Linked DNA regions of Drosophila melanogaster. The protein of the gene in region 3 interacts with the protein of the main gene of each other region in a pairwise test. Each region holds a gene or a part of one and is shown on either strand. Other genes may lie near its edges. The genes, in order: CG4324, geminin, CG31111 and Cpr72Ea.

What was found.
Region 1: the proteins of CG31111 (region 3) and CG4324 interact in a two-hybrid assay, tested with the Drosophila melanogaster proteins (one large-scale study listed by BioGRID).
Region 2: the proteins of CG31111 (region 3) and geminin interact in a two-hybrid assay, tested with the Drosophila melanogaster proteins (one large-scale study listed by BioGRID).
Region 4: the proteins of CG31111 (region 3) and Cpr72Ea interact in a two-hybrid assay, tested with the Drosophila melanogaster proteins (one large-scale study listed by BioGRID).

The regions. Positions count from the first base shown.
Region 1 is NT_033778.4:24,014,348-24,019,014, reverse strand, and holds CG4324 (uncharacterized protein), read left to right. Parts: upstream 1-1,816; 5' UTR 1,817-2,055; intron 2,056-2,183; 5' UTR 2,184-2,199; coding exon 2,200-2,311; intron 2,312-2,368; coding exon 2,369-2,625; intron 2,626-2,680; coding exon 2,681-2,805; intron 2,806-2,865; coding exon 2,866-2,929; intron 2,930-2,987; coding exon 2,988-3,113; intron 3,114-3,175; coding exon 3,176-3,247; intron 3,248-3,299; coding exon 3,300-3,694; intron 3,695-3,756; coding exon 3,757-4,042; 3' UTR 4,043-4,098; downstream 4,099-4,667. Other genes in the region: Rsph4a (radial spoke head protein 4a), read right to left, coding at 1-864, 922-1,114, 1,197-1,501.
Region 2 is NT_033778.4:6,654,943-6,658,476, reverse strand, and holds geminin (geminin), read left to right. Parts: upstream 1-1,882; 5' UTR 1,883-1,951; intron 1,952-2,022; 5' UTR 2,023-2,247; coding exon 2,248-2,826; 3' UTR 2,827-3,014; downstream 3,015-3,534. Other genes in the region: sced (scrambled), read right to left, coding at 1-965; Opbp (Optix-binding protein), read right to left, coding at 3,252-3,305, 3,367-3,534.
Region 3 is NT_033777.3:25,054,551-25,057,723, forward strand, and holds CG31111 (uncharacterized protein), read right to left. Parts: upstream 1,628-3,173; 5' UTR 1,548-1,627; coding exon 1,485-1,547; intron 1,335-1,484; coding exon 588-1,334; 3' UTR 526-587; downstream 1-525. Other genes in the region: stac (staccato), read left to right, coding at 2,550-2,632, 3,075-3,173.
Region 4 is NT_037436.4:16,360,751-16,364,278, reverse strand, and holds Cpr72Ea (cuticular protein 72Ea), read right to left. Parts: upstream 1,677-3,528; 5' UTR 1,630-1,676; coding exon 604-1,629; 3' UTR 529-603; downstream 1-528.

The DNA.
Region 1 (4,667 bases), on a different chromosome or scaffold from region 3:
CTCCTCCTCGCCCTCTTCTTCTTCCTCGCCATCGAACATCCGCTGCTCCTTCTTGGTCATGCGCCTGTAGTAGCCCACAGGAGCGATGTAGGTACCCGCTGTGATGCGACCTATCAGAGTCCGTAGGTAATGTTTCTCCTTTCCAGGGAAGCAGGGGTAGGATATGACATCCGCCTCCAGATCGCCTGTTAGGAACTTCTTGATCTGCCGCGAAACGACAATCTGTCGAGGGGTCACTATAGGTAGTTCGATCCAGTCGTCAAATAGCGAGTTCACAACGAAATAGGAGTACCTATTGCAGCCCTTGCCAATGAACTCCGGTGGAATGTCGTAGAGCTCCATCTCCTCCACCAGGGGAACGGGCGCAGCCTTGGGCTTCATCTTCTCGAGCTCCTCAGGCGGAAATTCCTCCCAGCCATAGATGCCCGGTGTGAGCTCCGGCCCAATGTGCGCCGGCGGTGGCTTGTCCTCCCTGTCCTTGCGCATCGGGAACGGAATCTGCTTCTGCCGCATCTCTTCCTCCATCATGACCAAGCGCGAGGCGATTTCCTCGCGGGTGAGCGAAGCTTCCACTATGTAGTAAGAGGCCTTCAGTCCGTTGATGCAGCCCCAGAATCTGCATTGCATGATCGAGGGATGCGTCTGCAGCCGGTTCATGGCGCTGGCCAGCTGGAAGATGTCGTCGTTGCTGATGCTAAATCCGCACTGTGTCCAATAGAACTGCAGCTGCTGGACTCGCTCGTTGAATGTGACGAAGTATCGCATGGAATCGTCGATGACAATGCGCATATCCTCGTTCGTTCTCAAATCCTCGACGGACAGGTCTTCGCCCATCAGATCCTCACCCTCAACGACATAGGGCAGCTATGCGAGATGGTAGTTGCGTGGTGTAGCTGCTTATATACATAACACACTGCTCACCTTCATGGATTGGAGAATTTTCTTGGCCACCCGGAAAGATCGCACCTCATCGAACACGCCACTGGGCGGAAAGCGTTCTGGCAAGTGGAACTTCTGTTCGCGAACATTTCGGCTAAATTCCTCGAAGAAGTCTATCACATTCGGAGGACGTTCGTCAATCACCCTCTTTATGATGTCACTAAGATGATCGAACCTGCAGGGATTGAAGATTGGGTTATGTACTAACCGACTTGGAGAAAGAGTACCAAGTACTTAAGACGATATCCTATACTCACAAGTTGTCCCCACTGAGGGTGCTATACTTCTGCAATATGGACTTGGCCACGTTCAACTCATAGCCAATGTTCGGGGCCTCGGGATTCCGGGCGTTGTGGAGGTTGCATTGCGAATCGAAGGCGCCTATGGATATGGTGGTTGTCGAGGACGAGGATGACGATGTGACGTTGGAGCATTCGGGAGATGCCTCCTCAGCTGCGGGCTTCTCCGGCTTCTTCCTTCTGGGCGCGCAAACTGGCGGAGGAGCAAAATGGGAACTGCTCGTGGAGTCTAATGAGAAATTTTGGCAGGAATCCCTGTCCATCGCGATGGAATAGTGAGACTCTGATCTAAAATCCTCAAAAGCATGTGTTGTTTGGCTTGGGAAAACCCAATAATTGTAGGAGTAATGGTTTGACAATCAGCCTATTTAGTTATTTTAAAAAATATTTTCAATTCCATACAAATAATACCAACTTGCAATGTTTAATGTTAATAATCTTATAACTTATCAACGATTTTGAATTCTTCGAGCTGCGCGCCATCTATCGTTATCGATCTCACAGTCTGGAAGACAGTCTTCTTCAGTCGTTACCTTATAACCAGTTTTTGAGACTTGGTGGTGCGAGTTGTTTACATTGCATTCGATTCTCAGTCTCTCACTGGCTAAAAGAAAGTGCTTGAAAGAAAGTTGTTGTTTGTGCTGTGGCTTAAACTATTTGTTGTGTGTTTCCTAATCAGAATTAGCAGAATTAACTAACTTCGAGATCGCAAATTCGAATATGTTCAAATATAATGGATAAATCTCTGTGTATCTGCATACGAAGACATAAATCACAGTCTTAAAATCGAGAACAACTTTCTTTACGGTTGAGGAAGGTAATTTATGCTAATGCATAATAAAATCATAAAAATCATGATGTAATCGAAATCGCGGGTTAAAAAATGTGATATTTGATATAGTTGGATTGTAAGATGCAATTCAATGACAAAGTTACTTTTCTAAGTGATTCTAGATTCAAGATGTACTATCTGAACAACGAGCCAGCCGCCCTTCCATCTCCCGCAAATCTCGCCCCACGGGATGTGCACTCATCCACATTGGAGCTGAAGACGGTGTCTATAAATCCGGATGGTAAGTGGTCCGAAGAGGAATTTCACACATTTCGGGTAACAAGTGCACCTTTCACAGATACCTACACTGTTCAGCAGGCGATCAATGCCTTCGGTTTCGGATGGTTTCACGTCAAGCTGTCGCTCTTGGTGGGGCTCTGCTGGATGTCCGACTCCATGGAAATGGCCATTCTCAGCATATTGGGCCCGTCTTTGTTCTGCGAGTGGAATGTCACCAAGTTCCAGCAGGCATCCGTCACAACAGTGGTGTTTTTGGGCATGATGTTGAGTTCCAGTTTTTGGACACAGCTGAGCAACAGATATGGCCGGAAGTCGGTAAGACTGACTGGTAATCAAATAGCTAATAGCTACTAAAATGCCACCATTTCAGGCCCTCACATTGTTCGGAGTACTACTAGTGCTGTATAGCATTCTCAGCTCGGTGGCTCCCAGTTACGCCTGGCTCCTGACCCTAAGAGGTCTCGTAGGCTTCGCCATCGGCTGCGTTCCACAGTCGTGAGTAATTCCATGGACTAGGAGGTACCTCTCCACCTAAAACTTTCTTTAACCCAAAAGAGTTACCTTGTACGCTGAGTTTCTGCCCACCAAGCACAAGGGAAAGTGCGTCGTATTGATGGACGTGAGTACGTGCCACCGTGTGCTAAACGTATTTATTGAATATATTGTACTGGTTTCAGTGCTTCTGGGCCTTGGGAGCTTGCTTTGAAGTGGTCCTAGCACTGGTTGTGTATCCCTATTACGGATGGCGAGGTCTCTTGGCCCTTTCGGCTACACCCCTACTCATTTTTACCATCCTATCGCCGGTTCGTATTCCTCGCTCTCTTCAGAAATATCCTTAATCAAATGTATCTTTAAATCACTACAGTGGCTCAGTGAATCGGCTCGCTATTACTCTTACAACGGTCACAATGATAAGGCCATCAAGGTTCTGGAACAGGTGAGTGGTAACTTTATGGAGTGATTATACGTCTAAAAACCTACGATTGTAGATAGCTCACAACAACAAGCGCCACATGCTGATGGGTCGGCTGATGGCCGACGACGAGCCCAGTTGCGCGGAGAGCTTTAGATCCCTGCTCAGCCCGAGCCTGTACAGGACCACCATCCTGTTGTGGTTCCTCTGGCTGGCCTCGGCCTTTTGCTACTACGGCCTGGTGCTGGTCACGACCGAGCTGCTGGTGGCCAGGAACAAGGAGAGCCATCCCAATGAGTGCGTCACCTTCATGACCTCCGACTTTATGGACCTGCTGTGGATCACCCTGTCCGAGTTTCCTGGAATACTGCTGACCATCAAGGTGGTCAAGCTGTTTGGCAAGAAGAAAACCATTGTTCTGCAGTACCTGGCGCTGGTTCTGTGCACTCTGGTGCTGATGTCGGTGGAAAGGTAGTAGTGGTGCACACTCAATTGATCATCTGATAATCAATCCAATCCTCCTCCAATCCTAGTCGCTTCTCCACTTCCGTAACCCTCTTCATTGCACGCGGCACGATATCCGGCATCTTCCAGGCCATTTATGTGTACACTCCGGAAATATACCCAGCTGCCTTGAGATCCGTCGGAGTTTCGGGCTGTTCCGTGCTGGCCAGACTCGGCGCCATGCTGACCCCTTTCGTGGCGCAGGTGCTGATGGACTCGTCCAGAATTCAGGCCATGTCCACGTACGCAATCGTGGGCCTGCTGGCCTCCATAGCCTGCGTCTTTCTGCCCAGGGAAACTGTTGGCTACCACTGAGTGCACTGATTACCATAACTTATTATCTATAACTACTATTAAACCCATTAGTCCCTAGAAGCTGTGTGAATGTTTCATTCGGATTGCCTAGTTTTAGGCTTAGCGGGCTAGTAGTAATCTAAAAAGTCTAGAATAGATTAAGATGCTTCTAACAAGTAACAAAGCTCCTAAAGGGAAAGCTCTAGTCTAGCATTGGCATAAATACTCAGTTGAAGGAGGTGTTACTACTAACTACCCGTTTGTGTTGGTCTAATTGGTGACTAATCTCAACTTTGTAGGCCAATTTCCTCTTATTTATGATTACATTGCTGACAGGTGACAGGAGGAAGTGCAGTTGCAAATTAATTAAACAAGCCAATATTTCTGACCATAAACATTGCGAATAACGTATGGGATCGTATAAATAACTTCGTGCCCGCGCATATATTATAATACTTAATTAAATATGTATGCTGGCGCACTCTGGGTGCCGAAATCTATATGCACTCCTCTGACAGCCATAAACTTTCAGACCGTCCGCTCTGTTCGGCATCTAAGCACATGGCTATGCACATGCAGATGCAGATGCAGATGCAAATGCAGATGCAAATGCAAATGCATTTGCAGATACTGATGGGGATGCGGA
Region 2 (3,534 bases), on a different chromosome or scaffold from region 3:
TCGAAGTATTCTCCAAAGGTGTCCAGCAGATTGAGTTTGGACAAGTCCGGACTTGAGAAGCTATTACGCTGAGACTTGTTCAACTGGGATGTGCGCTTTACCGGAAGCACAGGCTCCGGCGTGGGGGCATTCTCATACAGTGGCAGGACCTCATCGCTGGGTTCATTGGCCACCTCGCTGGTGCTGCCGGAACGCTTTTGACGTGAACTCCCGAACAGGTTGTCCAGCATGTTCTTGTATTTCTTCTTCTTGGCCAGCTCCGATTCGGGATTGGTGCTGGACCGCGCAATCTCGCCAAGCTGGGCGCACTCAAAAGTGTTTATTCGCTGACGGTAAGGATGTGCGGGCAGCGGTGGCGGTGAAGGAGTCTCCATGACTGACGGCTTCATCTCTTCGTAAATGCCGGATGCGATTGAGACGCGGGAGATGCGGCTGCCGTCAAAAATCTCCTCGTATATTTGCGAGACTCGCGGAGAGAGAGCGCTAGCGTCGAGGGTTTCCGGCAGGTTAGGCAGTGGGCCCAGACCTCCGGGACCCCTGCTCAGCCGGCGCTGTTCTAGAAAGACCTGGCGATAAAGTTCCAGATTCTTAATCGACTTCCGCATCCATTTCATGTGACGTCGGCAGGATGTCTCCGTTTCCAGGGCGAAATAGATGAAGCAGTCCCGCCGATTTTGCGTCCAAAACAGCCCGTACGAGTGCTGCTTCGTGCGCGAGGTAGCCAGGCTCAAGCTGACGCCCGGAACGTTTACGGAGACGCTAATGGGTTTAGCGGGGTGACACTCTTGGGAGTGAGACTCGGTCTCCATGGCCTGGAAACTGAGCCGCAGGAAGCAGGGCACACACTTAATGGCCTCTATTTTCACTTGGCAGCGGGTCCATGTCTTGTAACGCAGCGCCACTGGTCGCTTATCGTGTGTATCCAGCTTGGCGTCCATAGTCATGGAGATTTCGTTGTGGTCCATCTTGGGGCTACTGCTACGTGGTGGGGCGGATGGAGGTGCGGTGAATGAGTTGCGAGTGAAAAATAAAAAAGTAAACGATCTATATCCGCTACTTCGAGAATTACATCTTTTTTGCGACTGGGTGGAGCTCTTATCGGCTATTCTCTTATCGCACGTTTATCCTTCGTGTCCTCGTGACGTGACTGGCGTTGCCACCTGGCGGAATATCACAGAAATCGCGTTTCTAGAAGACCAACAAATGAATTTATAACTTCAATATACATCAATCAAACTTAAGGTGCTCAGCCTAAGCTACACAGCTCTTTTAAGTTCTTTATTTATACTTTTAAATGCTAAATGCTTACATGTTATTTGGACATCTTGAGTACTAGCTTAATAAGAAGGTAGTATCCAAGCAATTCTTATTTATAATCTCTTAACTAATTTACACAATCTTTTAAATTATTTTCAAGATCCATAACCAGGTCTAAAACCAAACAAATAAAAACTAAAATCCTATTTATACTTCGCTTTATAGCTATTTTAATATTTATTATTAAAAAACGCTAATGATGTTTTCAAAAATGTTAGGCATTTCCTTTTAGTATTTAAAATTCTACATCCGACATTGGGGTATATTTGACTTCTACTTGGCTGAGTATGAATTATGATTTGCAAAAGAAGTAAAAATTTAACTTTAAAATTAGGTATCTGTCTAACTGTTTTTGTCGTTTAAAACACAGGGTAGGTATGGTTTTCTTTCAATTTAAAAACATCGCTAGAAAACTGTTTCCAAAAAGTAAGCTGCATTTTTTGTTTTTAGTTTTGCTTTATACAGAAATTTTAATACTATACTTTTTTGATAAGCATCCACCAGCAAGAATACAGCAAGCTTTTATTTAATATTTTATTAACATAATTATTTAATATGAATGATTGGTAATATTTTGAAGTACTCTACTACATAGCAGTCGTAGGATTTGTTATTTTTCACATTATTTTTGTAGGTTTGTAATTATATTTTAAGGGATATCTTAATTTTACATTCCTAAAATAATTTGGTAACTTTTTGCGATAGTCGTGACACGAAATCGAGGGATGAAATTGCATGTGATGCAGCCCCTTGAGCAAACAGTGTTGGACAACAGCGCGCGGCATCGGCATTTTTTGGCGGCCATTACAACGAATGGAAAACTGTGAAGCGTTGCGCACAAATTAATGCATAAACAACAGACAAGCAAGTAGCACACGCTCTGCCGCCTGACAACCAAACCCACCGAAAGCACAATACACATCTCCGAAGATGTCTTCGAGCGCTGCCAGGGTCTACATCCAAGTCGAGACAGAGGCCGAGCAGAAGGAGCACCTGAAGCAGCAGAGACAGACCCTGAAACCCTTGCAGGGCAACGTAAACGATAAGGAGAACCTCACTGGTTCAGGGCGCGCCTCCATCGTGGATCAGCTGAGTCGTCTGAAGGCCGGCGTCCAAGTCGCGCCCAAGTACGGCAAGCGCAAATGCGTGGACACGGCGCCCGCGATTTCCACAAAGGATGCGGATACCCAGACTGATGCTGAGGCCGTTCCGCTTGGCAATGCTGACAAGCCCATCACGGCAGAGGATCTCACTAGCACAGCCGAACCCGGCGAGAACTACTACAAGCTGCTGGCCGAGCAGCGGCGACTGGCGCTGGAGGACTCGCTCACCGAAAACCGCCATCTGCACGAGCGCATCGAGGGGCTTGAGGAGGAGATGGACACTATGCGCCAGGAACTGGACGAGGCCAAGAATTTGGTGGAGGTCCTGAAGGAGATCTGCGAAGAGGACAACAGCGAGGTGGAGGAGGACGACACTACGGGTGACGAGGACAAGGTCAACGCCTAGGCTACACACCAATCACACGTTTTTTTTAGTCTAAGGTTTTACATTTAGTTGTAGTTAAATATCGCGTTTATATCCCTGTTCGTCGTCAGCCAACACAACGGCTGGTCTAATTGTACGCCAGCAATATATTTACTTGTTACACGCCAGTTATAATCCTAATAAAGTTTTACATTTGCACAATTGCACACAATATTTAATTCGTATTCCTGTATTTTATGTGCAACTTATATAAACCATTTCGCATCCATATGCTAGTTTAGATATGCTCTTTTCCTTTCATTAATTCTACATCAAAACAAATGTGTTTATTAGCTTACATCAATGCGGATGGATTTCAATGTGTGGGGAGCTAACGCAAAAATAAAATACTCAAGGTACAACATATTTTTGAGACAAATATTTATTGGATGTAAAACTGTGAACTGCTACTTAAGCCAATCTGTAATAACTTCCTCGCTGTGGAAGTTATCCACGTCAAACTGCAATAAAGGAAGAGAAAAAGGTAAGTTTGGGAAGAGATACAAAGAACTAGTAACTCACCACAACGCACTCTTCGTAGGTGGGTACGGTGCCCACGATGTCTACATCGTTTACCACAGCGTTTATGTAAGCGGCATCTGCCTCGGCTGCCGCTATCAACACCGCAGTCTCGGAATCATCGGTCTCAGCGACGTGTGCAGCATCAGTTGAGGTGGCGGGATTCTCCTG
Region 3 (3,173 bases):
GATGTCGTTTAATTTAACGCTAGCCAAAACAACTTTCCCAAAATATTGTTTAATACTTTTCAGATAGGTGTTGTGTACATATGTTTCGATTCGAGGGTTGTATTTCCGATTGCCTCGGCAGGTTGCCAGCTTGTTTTTTTCGGCATTTCTATAGAAAAGTCGATAGTTGACAACAATTGTACAAATGCACAGTTTCATTTGAAATAACCGCGAATGCCCACATAAAACATATGATTTTAGCACATTGAATCATGCGGAAGTGGGACAAAGAGTTTTTAGAATAATATGTTATCTATTTAACTGGAAATTGTTAACCAATCTGTCCCAAACACTCGTAATAATTTAATATTTTAAACTGTATTATAACGTATTATACAGCTGGAAAGTATATTTTGAAACGGACGAGATGGAATTGAAACAGATCAGCTGTTTCGGGTTTTTAGTGTTTTCGTATCATGTACCAGGTACATACTTAGGTACATAACTAAGTACTTCTCGCAACGATTGTATCAGAGAAATAAAATTCGTCTTTATATTATAAACTTATTATTCTTATATCGAGAATCAAATAGTAAAAACAGATCTTATCAAGATAGAAATCCCTGGAGCGTCTCAAAGGATAAAGACGCGCTGTTTAAGGACTGCACATTCTGCACCGCGAATCCCTTGAAATTCGTGCACTGATGAAAGGCAGGATCCATCATAAGCAGCGATTGTGTTTTTTGGTTTGACAAGCCAAAGAAAACCTCGCCCTGTACGTCGAACGGTATTTTAATTTTAACGCAGGGAGACCGCTGAATGGAGTTTAGAAGCTCCATGTGACACATATTGGCGCTTTCTCCGAAGAAAACTCCATCCAGATCATTGTCGGGTATTATTTGGAACTGAGGAATCCCGGCGTTATTTAAAATCTTACATGTGAACACACACTTCTTGCGCGGATCCTTGGGATGGGCGTAGATTCGTGTGGCCACATATCCCACGGGATATATCCAGCTCTCAGTGTGAAAATTGGGATTCACTGATATAATCTCGCCCAGTGAGTGGAGTAATACATTATTTAGGTTCATCGGAAACATGGGCTTCTTTTTCCGTACAATTGTAACATTTTTTGGCTTATCTTCGACGGGGTTCTTATGCGAAACTACAGGACTGTATTTCTTTGTGGTTTCAGCGGCGTCGTTTTTTCCATTCGAGACACTGGGTCGTCCACTGTTGGATTTCTCCAAGCCCTCGTGAAACATGAGGCGCTCTATCAAGTAAAGTCTTTGGGATCGGGTCACAGATAGTTCGGCCTGCAGACGACAGATCTCATCCGTGAGGGCGGCGTTCTCCTGAAATTGGTATTATAAAGTTAATAGATCATATAACTTCCCGTAAATGTTTTATGCTATAATGTAAACATATATGTGAGTAGGAATCTTAAGGTTTCTTGTAAATACTCTTAAGTTTGCATAACTTCGCCCTAGTTTCTAAGATCTTACCAGTAGATAACTCTTGACGGAGCGTTTTAAGCTCTCGTAGCGCCGCTTATACTTTAAATTCATTGCTTTTTAATTTATAATTTCAGCAAAAACAAGAGATACGATTTGTTTGTTGTTATTGCCGTGGGTTTGTTATGATTATCGGACTGCAGGGCTGCCATTCGTAAGTTATCGAAATACGGTATTCGGTAGATTCATTTATGTTGGTATATCTTACATACCAAATTAATAAACAAAACTGATCTAATCTAATCTTTGTTTATTTTAAAAGATATAAATAAAGTTTTAAAGGGTGCGAAAAAAACAAACGGAGACGTTAATTCGAATTGAAATTAAGGAAATTCCTAATGGATTTGCAAATCCTCTTAGCCTAATTCAATCTGGCATTCTGACCTTGCAAAGGACTTAATCATGTTAAAAAGTTACTTCCGGCGCTCGGAATTAAGGATATTTGAAAAAATAAGGTATGTTTTTAAAGTAGTTAAATAGTTGCGCACATAATTTAGCTTGGCATCTGAAAATGTGCCTTAAAGTGCGTAGTTTGACCATGGAAGCACCAGTCTGCAAAGGTAGTTACAAGAATACCAACACCTAGCCCTTCAAGAGTATATGTACATAAACAGGTGTGCGTGAGGCTTACCACCATTAGAACCATTGATGATTGGTAACTTCTTAATGGATTTTCATTCAACAATTTCAAGAGTTACAAACTATAAGTTTTTAAAATCATTAGCATGAGAGCTAGAAAAAACGTCCGATCACCATGGCAACAGGTGTCTGTCTGTATGTATCATCCCGTTCCTTCCCATTTCCCCACTTTCGCCCAATGTTAGATACTACAAACATCCATAGCTCATTATAATGTGTTTGCGATAGTGTAGGGAAGAGCGTGTGAATACCACTGAGAAAAATCTACGTCGGAGAGCAGCTTTGGCAATGAATCACATCGTTTGTTCGTTTCGGTTTCGGTGCAAATAAGCCGTTAGTATGTTTCTACACTCCGGTGACACTTGTTGGATTCCGATTTCGATTCAGTGCCTCTGAAGCTAAAAACGCAACATCACAATGGACGAGGAGCAGATGTGGAAGGGCTTCTTCTTCAAGTTGCAGGAGCTCAAAATGAATCCACCCACGGAGCATGAACACCAGTAAGTTGGATGAATAAAATACAGACTCACGCATACCTGTAGAAAACTTGAAAACTCACCGATAGACAAACATTTGTTCGCCAGACGAGCCGAAATGTGTGTTTCTATTTCTCTAGACAAATATGAACATTTTGGAGAACTGGAACTGTGTCATCAGATAAATTAAAGATTATCAAGTGAAATTAACGTGTGTGCGTGAGGAATGGCAAGTGATGTAAGGGAGTGGGGGAAGCCACAGATCGATTTTACCACCCACTCGCAACTAAAACATGACTCAGTTTTAGGGTATTTTTCACTGGGCTTTCAAATACATCTACATAAGCTTGCTCATAGTACGAGTATCCCTAATCGAAATGAAATCCCCATTAAGTGATGACTAGCCAGTGCAGATAATATTTAATGACTTTTTTCGAATTATTTACTAATTGCACTTTTTCCGCAGACTGCAAGACGGAGATGATGGATTTTTCGAAAAGTTTGGATCCCTACTGCGGCAGAAGTCCCAAATCGATGAGGGCGTCCTCAAAAGTTCACTGGCTCC
Region 4 (3,528 bases), on a different chromosome or scaffold from region 3:
GGTCATTTGTTTCTCTCAGTGTGAGCTGCAAATCATCCGGATAGGGGTCAAGGAACCGGGTGGGGCTATAGGACACGCCGGCTACCAATTCCAGTTTTAGTTATTTAGGTTGTTGCCTTTGCCGTTGTTTATGCTGCTATTAAATTTAATTGAAATCAAAATTCGGCCCACATTTATGAAGAGTTTATGCTGCACATATGTGGAATGTGATCGGTGGGTCGGGGGGCCAAAAGGTTGAGGTAGGACAGGGTCCGAGTGAACGTGTTCCGTGAGTCCAGGAGTTGGGCAGCTAAAGGGTTCAGTTCAGCCGGATCTTGAACTTTAGGTGTCGCGAGTTTAGTTATGATTATATTCAAATAAAGATACAAATGTTAAAACTAGAAATTATAAAGAAATTTGTTGATTGAAGAATAATTTTAGAAAGAATACTTAGAAAGAATATATTTCGAACAAATATTGTGTTACCAAAATGAATTTGCTAAAAATTTCTTTATATTATCCCATTACCACTTCAAAAGAAACGTTGCAGACTGATTGACAATTTTTTAATTTAAATTCGAAATTCTTAAATAATGAACCAAATCGTGCGAATTCAGCTGCCATTCAATAGTAAAATCCGGGGGTGTAGTACCTGGGAATGGTGTAGCCGTAGACCGGAGCAGGAACCACGACATGGTGGCTGCGAGCCACAGCAACTGGAATCTTGGCCAGCACCTGGTTGCGCACGCCTTCATCGTGGACGCGTTGAAGATGAAGCGACTTGGCCGCAGCCACTTCTGCGGTATCAGAAACGGGATGAGGCAATTGGGAGTGGCCACCATGGGATCCGGATGGGTCTGAGCCAGAAACCGGGTGCTCGTGGTGTTCGATAGAATGGGGCACCTCTGGATGAGCACTTCGACCGCTCTCAACGACAGTGTGATGATGAGGAACCTCAACGGGATGGTTGCCAACAGGATGCTGAGCTACAGCAACGGGGTGCTCATGGTGCTCGACGGGATGATGTCCATCTGGATGAGCACTTCGGCCGGTTTCGACAACAGTGTGATGATGTGGAACTTCCACGGGATGATGGCCAACAGGATGCTGAGCTACAGCAACGCGGTGCTCGTGGTGCTCGACGGGATGATGTCCATCTGGATGAGCACTTCGTCCGCTTTCAACAACAGTGTGATGATGTGGAACTTCAATGGGATGGTGGCCAACAGGATGCTGAACTACAGCATGCGACACCTCCGCGTGATGCTCAACATGGTGGTCTACTGGATGCGACGCGCTCCTGGGACTAAATTCTAGCGACTCCTGGGGAACTTTAGCCTTTGGCAGATTAGTGGCTGCCACATGGAAACCTTTGTTGTCGGCCACATAGTTAACCGTTTGCAGCTTTCCCGCCGCATCCCGGTAACTATAGTATCCTTGGGTGATTCCGTCTAGGGTGCGGGTCTCCTGTTTGCTGGACAATGGTTCCGAATAGCCATAGGAGTACTGACCCAACTCATCCTTGGCGATATACTGGCGCTGGGTGGGCGTGAACACGGCGGATCCCTCGGCAGTGTACGCATAGGGATAGTACAAGGCCAGTCCGTGGGCCAAGCTGAGGCTTCCTAACAGCAGAAGTGGATACTTCATGGTTGGGCAGTGGAAGATTGCTTCGAGTGAGTCTTGTTCGTCAGTTCACTGGTAACTGTTGATTCTGAGCCTAGGTCTTCATCCTTTTATACCCAGCAGGTTCTTTCGCGAGTTCTAGGTTCTGGTTCTGGCTGAGGTTCCTGCCGGTCAGATGCTTCTATTCTGATACACTGCGAAAAAATTCTAAAAGTATGCCATATTATTATCTAAGAGAGTATACAAATGTTTTATGCTCTTTTACCCTAATATAGTAACGTGATTTTTATGACTTAAATTAAATCCAAAAATAAGTAGTTCGTAATTTGTTTAATAATGATTTGTACAAAGCTTAAAACATAAATTTAAATGCATATAAATAATAATATTGCTAAAAAAGACTGTTCTTAAATTCCTGAAATTTTAATTTTATGATTATGACAATCATTAAAAAAATATTTTATTATTGATAAAAAAGGTGGTTTATTGTACTTAAATAGAATTCATCAAATTTGTACAAGCACACGTATTTCATTAAAGAATAACCTAATAGTAATAATATCTGTCACATTTTAAAATAGTAAACAGCCAATTAATTTTTTCTCCAAATGTATCCATCAGATGCACTTCAATGCAAACGAGGAGATGCGAATGCGTCGTCGTGTCCACTTGTGTCGTTAACGGACATTGCAGCTCCGCCTTTCACTCCCCTTTTGGGGATCGACGCCTCGTGAAGGCGTTGTCAATTTGGTTTAATTGTGGCCAAGGCTGGAGTGGGCCCAAATGAGGGAGGCAGACCCTGGTTCTCCGCAGCGGGAGGAGCAATCGCTGCCTGGCATCTCCATCTGCATCTGCATCTGGATCTGCAAGCGAGCCAAGGGCCTTGGCTGGGTGGACCATCAAGGCCAAAGACCGCATCCAGACCAGCGTGTAATTGATATGCAATCGTTGTTGCTGCCACAGCATTGTGGCATCTCAGCCTCCTTTTTGTTCGCACACTGCAACGGGGCCACGACAACAACAGCAACTTCAACTGCAACAGCAAATGCAACAACTGTGGCAACAACCGACGACGACAACAACGGCATCTCAAGGTGAGTGAAGGCCAAGGGCCACATTTGGCCACAGCTTGGACACGGGAGTCATGCACTCCAGTGGCGAACAAAATGGGGGTCTTAGGGGGGTCATAAGTACCCTTAAAAATTATAATACTTGGTTAGATACATATGTATGTACATAAGAAATATATGTTTTATGCGAAGAGCTTACAAATATGACACAGAAAAGGGTTAATTAAATCGTTAAGTCCGCTAAATAAATAATATAATGTGAATTTTTAGACACCTTATAGTATACACTGAAGATATATACTTATTTCAACCGGACACTAAGAAAACCCCCTAAGAATATGTTTCCCATCCGCCTCTGATGCACTGCAGCTGCATTGGTATCTCCTGTTCCTCCTTCGCTGGTCATTTTTATTTTTAGCAGCGGGCTTATCGGATGCCTCAGATCTCTGGTGCTTAAACTTCGCTCCCGATTAGGAGGAGGAGGAGGAGCAACTGCAAGAACCACATTGGATTGGCCTTGACGGCTCGGCTGATAAGTGCGTTTTAATGTTAGCCCCGTTGGCACTCAGTTTCAATCAAAGCCCAATTCTCTACAACCATTCCAGCCTGGCTTAATGAGCTGGTTAGTTCTGGCCTGGAATTGAAGTTGGATTGGCAATATAGTCCGGTCCACTTGGTTCACTCCCTTTGTTCTGTCTCGAGTGGACTGTGCCCTGATTTGTGTACCACCATTGGTTCTTTGAACTGCCTTCGTGGCTAATTAAAGGTGCACTTAAGATAGGCCAGGTGGCAAGAATCATGTTTTTCATTTTTCAGGACTGGGAGTACTTTGATTTTATGTCCTAGAAAAAAA